Tribolium castaneum: one gene and its partner. The protein of the gene in region 2 interacts with the protein of the main gene of each other region in a pairwise test. Links are inferred from orthologs where the notes say so. Each region holds a gene or a part of one and is shown on either strand. Other genes may lie near its edges.

The links. The genes of interacting proteins can lie anywhere in the genome.
Region 1: the proteins of armadillo segment polarity protein (region 2) and alpha-Cat interact in binary tests that used the Drosophila melanogaster proteins (3 or more experiments, as listed by UniProt). The link is inferred for Tribolium castaneum from reciprocal best matches to the Drosophila melanogaster genes arm and alpha-Cat.

The regions. Positions count from the first base shown.
Region 1 is NC_087403.1:7,328,151-7,332,383, forward strand, and holds the start of alpha-Cat (catenin alpha), read right to left. Parts: upstream 2,887-4,233; 5' UTR 2,628-2,886; intron 2,560-2,627; 5' UTR 2,487-2,559; intron 2,157-2,486; 5' UTR 2,147-2,156; coding exon 269-2,146; intron 217-268; coding exon 147-216; intron 93-146; coding exon 25-92; intron 1-24. Other genes in the region: adapter molecule Crk, read left to right, coding at 4,090-4,124, 4,175-4,233. UniProt on the Drosophila melanogaster protein: Associates with the cytoplasmic domain of a variety of cadherins. The association of catenins to cadherins produces a complex which is linked to the actin filament network, and which seems to be of primary importance for cadherins cell-adhesion properties.
Region 2 is NC_087395.1:16,174,458-16,178,439, reverse strand, and holds the start of armadillo segment polarity protein, read right to left. Parts: upstream 2,801-3,982; 5' UTR 2,676-2,800; intron 2,641-2,675; exon of another isoform or gene 2,552-2,640; intron 2,336-2,551; 5' UTR 2,316-2,335; coding exon 2,282-2,315; intron 2,230-2,281; exon of another isoform or gene 2,167-2,229; intron 1,497-2,166; exon of another isoform or gene 1,386-1,496; intron 1-1,385. Other genes in the region: uncharacterized protein LOC660622, read right to left, coding at 3,067-3,161, 3,875-3,982. UniProt on the Drosophila melanogaster protein: Isoform neural may associate with CadN and participate in the transmission of developmental information. Can associate with alpha-catenin.

The DNA.
Region 1 (4,233 bases), on a different chromosome or scaffold from region 2:
GTTGTAAAATGTTACTTAACCTACTCTAGCCGTGGTAATACCACTGATGTCAGGATATTCATCCACACCATGTTCGCCAGTGTGAGCACTCGCTACAAAAAGATAAAAATGAATTCTTTAAAATAATAAAAAAAACTATAACGTACATTTGCTACGGGTTTCTAATGTATAATTTTCATCCAATTCTACATCTTCGGGGTCCAAATCTTCATCAGCCTATAACAAATTGTAACAAGTCTTGATAACACGTTTTTTGTTTTCATCTTACTCTATTCATCAGGACGGCTCTTCTAATTTCACGCACTCCATCGTACACCAATCGTGATGCGTCAATAAAATCATTCTCGTCAACCTCTTTGGTGGGAACGCTAGACAAAGCTTGAACGGCAACTTGGACCCTTTGACTAAATTTGGGCATCACTTGATCGTTTAATACTTTAACGGCTTCCAAAACGCGCTTAGTGTAAATACAAGGTTCATAATTATCCATTTCAGCAGTGACAACATTACAGACACGATTTGAGCGCCCTCTAATACCTCCTGCAGTTCTGTCCAAGGTATCGGCATCGCCTTCTTGCAACGCCAACACACACTTATTTACATCTTCTAGAATATGATTTTCCGATACAGCCAAAAAGTCATCAATTGTTGTAATATCGTCAACTGCTTCAGTCAAAATCCGGACTTGATTCTCCCATGATTGTTTAAAAGCGTCCATGTTTTCTTGAGCAACTTTGCTACGTGGTCGCGCTGCTAGAATCCTAGCAGCGTTGATTACTTCCGGACAGAGGTTGTCAATCTGTGCCGCTGCGTAGCGAACCATTTTGACACCGTCCTCGTTATTTGACATACTGCACACCAAGTTGGCAACTTCGACGAGCTTATTCGAGTGTTCAGTGAACATAACGGCAAACTCCTCGACTTCCTTCTCGTTACCATTTTGAGCGGCTTTGATCAAAACCAAGAGAGGAACGTTTGTTTCGAGAAAACTGTCAGAAACGTGGTCGACGACAGCTTTGCGCAACTGCCGTCTCAGATCGCGAGTTTTGCGGCCCATATTGTCGATGGCTCGATTCAAACTTTCGCTCTTTTCCTTATTGCCGATGTTTGACATGTACTCAGAAAGCAAGTCCTGAAGTGCTTGACGGACAGCATTACATTCGGCAACTATGCGTTCCCTTCTTTCGTCTCGGGTGCAGCTGGAGTCGGCCATAAGAGCTGCACCACTAATGATACTCTCCAAACGTTCCTCCAGAGACGGTCTCGTGTGAACCTCGTTGTAAGCCAACGGCTCCATAACCATATGATCGTCAAAGTCATCCAGAGCTGCAGCTAATTCTCCAGGACCATCGTATGGGCCTGTAGCCGGCTGCGGTGTCCTTCCTTGAGCGACGTCATTGATCGTATTAACAGCTTCACAAACTTGCTTCAGCACATAATCACGGTTAGCTTTCGCAGCTGCCAACTCCGGATGACGGACGTAGACTTTTGAAGCTGTCAGTAACATAGTGGAATGTTTCTTAAGTACAGCACGAGCAGCAGCTAAATCATCTCTCAGCTGAGGATCCTTCAACTCCTGTTGGCGCTTAGCTGCCTGATTCATCAGTTCGTTGGCATTCTGGCCAAAGGCCTTGATATTATCTAAAAGTTCGCCTTGACTTGACGCATTTTTCAGTTTTTCGATATCGTTCTCGACGACGTGAAGCGATTTGAGCAAGAGATGAACATCGACCATGTCAGCCAAAATCAAAAGACGGGTTACAGCGGAAAGAAGATTTCGTGCAGCACGCACCATATTGCCCCGTTTCAGGGAGGAACAAGGGTCTTCAGAGAATTCACGAGCGGCGATACTCATCGCGTTACCGGTTTTGCGAACTTCCTCAACAGCAGAGAGCATTTCTTGGGTTATGTCGGGGTTTTCGTAAGCGATTTGTTCGCCTTTTTCGATAAAATTCTCCGTGGCCTTCTCCACGGTGCTGACAAGAGCGTTAGCTCTCTTCGACTTGCCCTTTTTCTTTTTGCTGGGGCCTTTGGTATTTACAAGAGTCGTGACTTGTAAAACCAAAGGCTCCAATGTCTTTTCAACTGACATTGTCCTTATTTCTAAATTCTTCGGGTCCCACTTTAACCCAAAATGATCATTCATTATGCCAGATCTACAACCACAGAAAAAAAAAGTTCCAAAAAAACTAGATTAAAGTTAAAACGGTTTTAATAAATTTTTACTCTTGGTTTTAGTGTTTTTTTTTTAATATTGAGACACCTATGTAGCGTAGCGAATTATAAATTTTAAATAAAGTCACATTTTTTATTTTCATTAATATTTAAAAGCAATCGAGAAATCGAGAGAAATTATTAAAAACAGATGAGTAATGAGATTTATGTCTTAATTGCTTATCCAATTCCTTTTGTTAAGTTTATTAGGTGTTCTCTGTTTACGCTTTGCTATAAAATAATACCACTTGAAAAAATTTAAAATTACCTACCTATTTTTCCCAAGATTCTTCCCTCCTATCACACACAGAGATTTTACTTTAAGTAAAAATTCCAGACACTCAACTGCAATAAACTGTGACGATGAATCACCACTGAACAGTCATTAGTTCATGACTGAAAAAATTACATACCTCTACCTCACTCCAGAGTAGCCATACTAACAAAACATCAAATTGAACCACTCCCACTACTTGTAATGTCACTTTTCTTATCAATACTCAACTTTATCTTATCAAATGACAACCTTACTGTACATCCAAAATAATTGAATAAGACTTTTTGTTAATCATAAACCAAACAACGGAAAAAAGGACTTTTGTGTATAAATTATTTCTAACTAGCGTCAGTGTAAAGTTGGCACAAGAACGAAACTACCAACGGGGAAGAAGAAAATTCTCCAGAGCGAACCTTGAAAACTGGCGCCCTTTTAAAAGAATTTTTATTGTTGTATATAATGTAATAGATTGAATAATGTGGATTTTTAAAATTAGATTAATATGGTTAAGCAAAAACTGGCAAACACCTTCTGAAGAAGAAGAAAAAACTTCTAATCAAAACGACTATACAGTTCACTCAATATACAATTTTAGGAACAAATATTTGTAGATAAGTTAAATAGTGAATTTGCATGCTCTTGCCATAAAAAACGTGCTTATTTTTCTTACAAACGTGTTCGACATACCTGATCTGTTTTGTTTATTTTTCATTAATCATTAGTTGATTACAAACCCACAACAGGGTGATAAGTACATAGGTAGTAAGATAAATGTGTTAAAAATAAAATTTAATATTATTTTAGACTTACAAAATAAAATATGACGGCCTTTTGTAGACGCATCTTCAATACATTTAAAATAAGTTCATTTATAAAATCGTTTTGAATGAAAATTCGATAAAAATAATAAAAATAAATAAATAATAAAATAATTTCAGAGGGCTTGGTAGTGGCTTGGTTGTCATTATCATTATCATTGTCAATTTCGAACCGATATGTCATTTTGACAAAAGACGCATCTGTCAGTAGTGTCAATGGAAAAGTCTGGTATAAATCGGTATCGGAAATAAGGCCATTTGTATGCGTTTGTGTTTGAAATCCAAATTTTTAGAAAGGGAATTTCTCGTTAGTTTTTATATTTTGTGGCCTAAGGCTTGGAGGCAGGCCAGGTCAGTCGGCCATATCTGGCGCTGCTGGTGTTGGCTGCTCCGAGATCGACTGTATACCACGGACCACGGTAGTATCATGCGATAAATTTTAACAATTGTGTGGTGCAGCCGCTGATAAGAGTGTAGGGACATGTCTGTTTAATAAACAGGGGTGAAGGTGCAAGTTTGGGGTAATTTAACCGGAATTTGAGGCCATTTAAAAACTGCAGCAATATGTGTCGCTTGAAGAAGACTCATAAATGCATAATATAATATGAGAAAAAAAATTAGGTTAAAATACGCCAATTAATAATAGCGTTAAACAATATTGGACTGTACATAGGTATGTAAATGTCTTTATTTATTACAAGTTGGAGTACCTTCAGAAAATGCTTAACCGTTGCTATTATATTATCAAGTGGTATTAAAAAATAGTGCAAACCATAGAAAATGGCTAGTACATTTGATCATGAAGATAAGGACAGGTATGTTTTTATCGTATTAACGTTAGAAATTTAAAGGTGGTTGTTTTTAGCTGGTACTTTGGTCCAATTAGCAGGAAAGAAGCTACCGATTTGCTCATGGCAGAACGGG
Region 2 (3,982 bases):
TTTCCTAATCTTTTTTTAGTTATTTTACTTGATAATCCCTGAGTGTGGTTGATTTTTTTTTCACTCAGACAAAGTAGCATGGGATTTTTTAAATGTTTTGTAGCAGTTTGGAAATGAACAAAATGAAGTTTTATAGTTATTAATAATACGAGTACAAAAACACAAGCTTAATGTTCGAGAGCTGTCGTTATGCAACGAGCGTATGCGAGTTGCATACCTAAACACCAGAGAACATTAAGCTTGTGTTTTTGTACTCGTATTATTAATAACTATAAAACTTGGCCGTTTATTTCCAAACAGCTGCCAAAGTTATTCAATTTTTTTGTTGGAACATTTTAATTTAAAACACGTTGCTTTAGAAAGCGTGTTTTAAAATAGTGTAATCTAGAATTCAAATGTTAAAAAGAAGGCGTAAAATTGTTACTAACAAAAAATGGTATATTTTAATGTTTACTTGATTTATTATCCAACTTTTTTCAAAAAAATTGTAAGAAAACATTTCACTTGGTTTTTGAAATGAGTTAAAAACACAATTTTAAAGGTGCAGTCAATAACAAATATTACTATGATAATACTTTTGGTTACAATTTTTCTAAATAAGTAACAATAAAGTATTCTCTTACGACGTTGTCACTTTTTGTTTTTTATTTCAACTTTTGTTTACAAAACGAAAGGTTTTGTGAATTTTTGTATCGCTTTTTATTTAATTTTATTTTTGTATAGCTCTTAAGGTTGAACTATACTGGACTCACGGTCCACGTGGCCGTGCGAATGCACTAATTTGAGAAATTTTTTTAAGAAAAATAATAAACAAAATTGTTTTTTTTTACAATTGGATGTTGTTCCTAGGTTAACATATTACTCATGGACCAGTTCTTATCTCGATTTAAATATTTGTAACCAAGTTATAACGGGGTAAACAGCGTAATAATCTTAATGCTTTTATGGAAAAACCTAAAGTTCAAATAGTATGAAAAAATACAGTATTACAAGTAAGTCATAAAATACCCACAAAAAAAATTATCAAAAAATATAGTACCATTTTTTATTAAAAAAATAAAATGACTAAAAATTGAGGTTTTTTCATTTTATTTTTAAATGATACTAACAATTTTTTTCAAATGGATGTATATTGTTGCTAAAGTTCTCAGAAAGTTAACATATTTTTTTCAAGCAATTTGAACTTACAAATTTTGCGTTTACGCGTTTGCTTGAACAGTTCCTCTTCGGATAGTTCAGCCGTAAGTGCCTGTCCGCAACTTTTGGCATACACGATAAATCAATTTTGTAACTTCATAGGAATAAACTAGAATATAAGAATAAACTAAAATAAACTATGCTACTGTAACCAAATAAGTAATAATTCAAAAATAAATTGTACCTACTTTGTAGAGTTAGTAAGAAAATTCAATTGCAATTTAAACAGTTAAACACTTGCTTCTTTCAATGTTAGCGTACAAAACCGTTACTCAGGTATATTGCTTATCGTTATCAACATATCTGTATTTTATTTAAACATTGAATCATACCAATACTAACCACGTATCTAATATATGGTTAAAAAGTTACTCAGGAGAACGAATACATGTAAATAAAAGATACTAAAAATACGAGATAGCAGCAAAATTACTTTCGGAAAGATCACCAAATACACAGAAAAAGTTTTCACTTTAGGAAAACGACTCCAATATTTTCATACAATCATGTTCTGTAGGCTTATTAGACTGATATCTAGTCAAAAAAAGGGTCAAATACTTGCTAAATGTTGAATATACTCTAAGAACTCTTTATTTCTATGTAAGAGAAGATCTTGTACTAACTAATAATGGAATAAATATGCTTATTAAATTGTAATAAAATATAATAGTATGGTACTTCCTTAAAGATTATTTCTCTAGAACGAGTAAAGAAAGCCCATGTATTATACACAAATTTTTTCTTAATTTTTTTATGAGAATGTATGATTTGTATGAATAATAGGCTCTTAGTCACAACTGGGGTCATAGATACCGAAACCTCCACAAGAAAAAGTGGAAAATAATCAAACAATGAATTATTGCAGAGGAAATAAACTTCTTCTAACAATCCAATTATAAACACACCATCTGGAATGGTTTTTAAAGGGAATTCTCATTGTAACCTTTGACTGTAACCGAATAAACTTACATTTGAAGGATGTTTATCAAACTGGAAACCTCTCTCAATAAGTGTTTACGAAACCTTCACACACTGATTATAATTAATTAACACCAAACAATTAAAATACAAGAATGCAACTTACTGGGTCTATTCGGGTTGGACTGTAAGTAACTCATGGCGAATTACCACACCACACCTGAAACATGGAATTCTCTGAATCTCATGACCAATCTCATTGGAATTTCGAGCAGTGACAAGGAATTGCCGGATGAGGAATCGTTACGTGCTTTCAAACCGAAACATTTAATTAAACACCAGACGCTTCGTTTGTGTAACGATCACAATTTCCAAAGATTGCAATCACAAACCGATCAGACATCGGACTAAATCAGAATCAGAATCACCCACTCACAAAGAGATCCATGTTGTCATACACAGTTCATCGACATTTTTAAAACTTGGCCAAACCACACAAAAAACTCACTCTCACACTTACAAATGAATGAAATTGATAATTTTACACCGAAATAACTTACCTTGCGCCACAAAATCACTTTTTCCCTTTAAATTACGATAATATACGATAACGAACACAACAACACCGCACCCAATCACAAATATCAGATTGGCTGGCAGACCTGTTTACAAGATGCTGAAATGTCAAAGGGAAAAATCATTGATTTTAAGGTAAAAATCTTTATTTCATGTATCAAAAAAGCAGCAAATGTACGGTCGTGTATAACATTTTTAAATACAACATTAGAGTATAAAAAAACGCTAAATTTATAATTTCTAAAGCTAAACTATGGTTATGGTGTAAAAGTACTTCAAGTAGCGCGGCGCCATCTCCCAATCAGATGCCGCACTCATTCAACGCCCACGACAGGAATCTTTAATTCATCAAATATTGTTTCCTGTTTTTATCACTTATTCGTTTGAAATTAGCATGGCGGGAGGAAGAGTGATAGCAGCGTGACCTGATAAGGTCACCGGTAAATCGGCAATGCCCCTTATCCAAGCACCTAAAAAATTAACACTGTTGCAATTTTCTTTTCACACAGTGCGACGTTGCCATTTTATCAGGCTAGACTATGAAGCTTAATAATTTATTCACTACGGAAGCGGTATTAAGCTTTGTTTGGGTAATGTGAGACGAAAACAAAGTTTACATAATGTAGTATGGATTTTGGATTAAGCCAACGCAAACTTGGCGCACTGTAAATGGGGAAAATAGAAGTTGTTTGTTTCATTGAGAATGTGGAGATTTTTAAAAACTTTGCACGCTTTTGTATGAAAGTCCCCGCATTTGCATTCATATGTGAAAAACGTGAATAATAAACTTACGACTTGGAATGAGTTTTAGAAAGTTAAGTATGGAAATGGTGTGACAAAACGCTCGACTCTGAATTATATTATCTTAAATCAGAATTACTCCCAACTTTGTTGGATTCTGTACACGACGACAAATTATTTCTTGCGCCCACACAAGTCTGTTCTTGCTATCGGGTGTTTTCCATAATTTAAGCTCTCAAGTTAATTATTTTCTGCCTTTTTAGGTATTGTAATTCATAAATTCTTTATTCCGAGTTATTCTCCAATTTCATTTAAAAATTCATGAAGTGAAATAAGAGAGAACAGACAAGCTCTTGAGGTATATTATTTCTCCCGAGTAACCAGCTTTTTATGATTTTCCCTCATAAACTGACACCCACTTTCTCATTTAGTTTTCACTTACCTCGCTTCCAACAAAAACACTCAATGTTGGATAGACATCTCATATAAATGGTTGTGACACCACCCATGATAAAAATCTGGGTACCAACATACGCAACAGCATGACCAT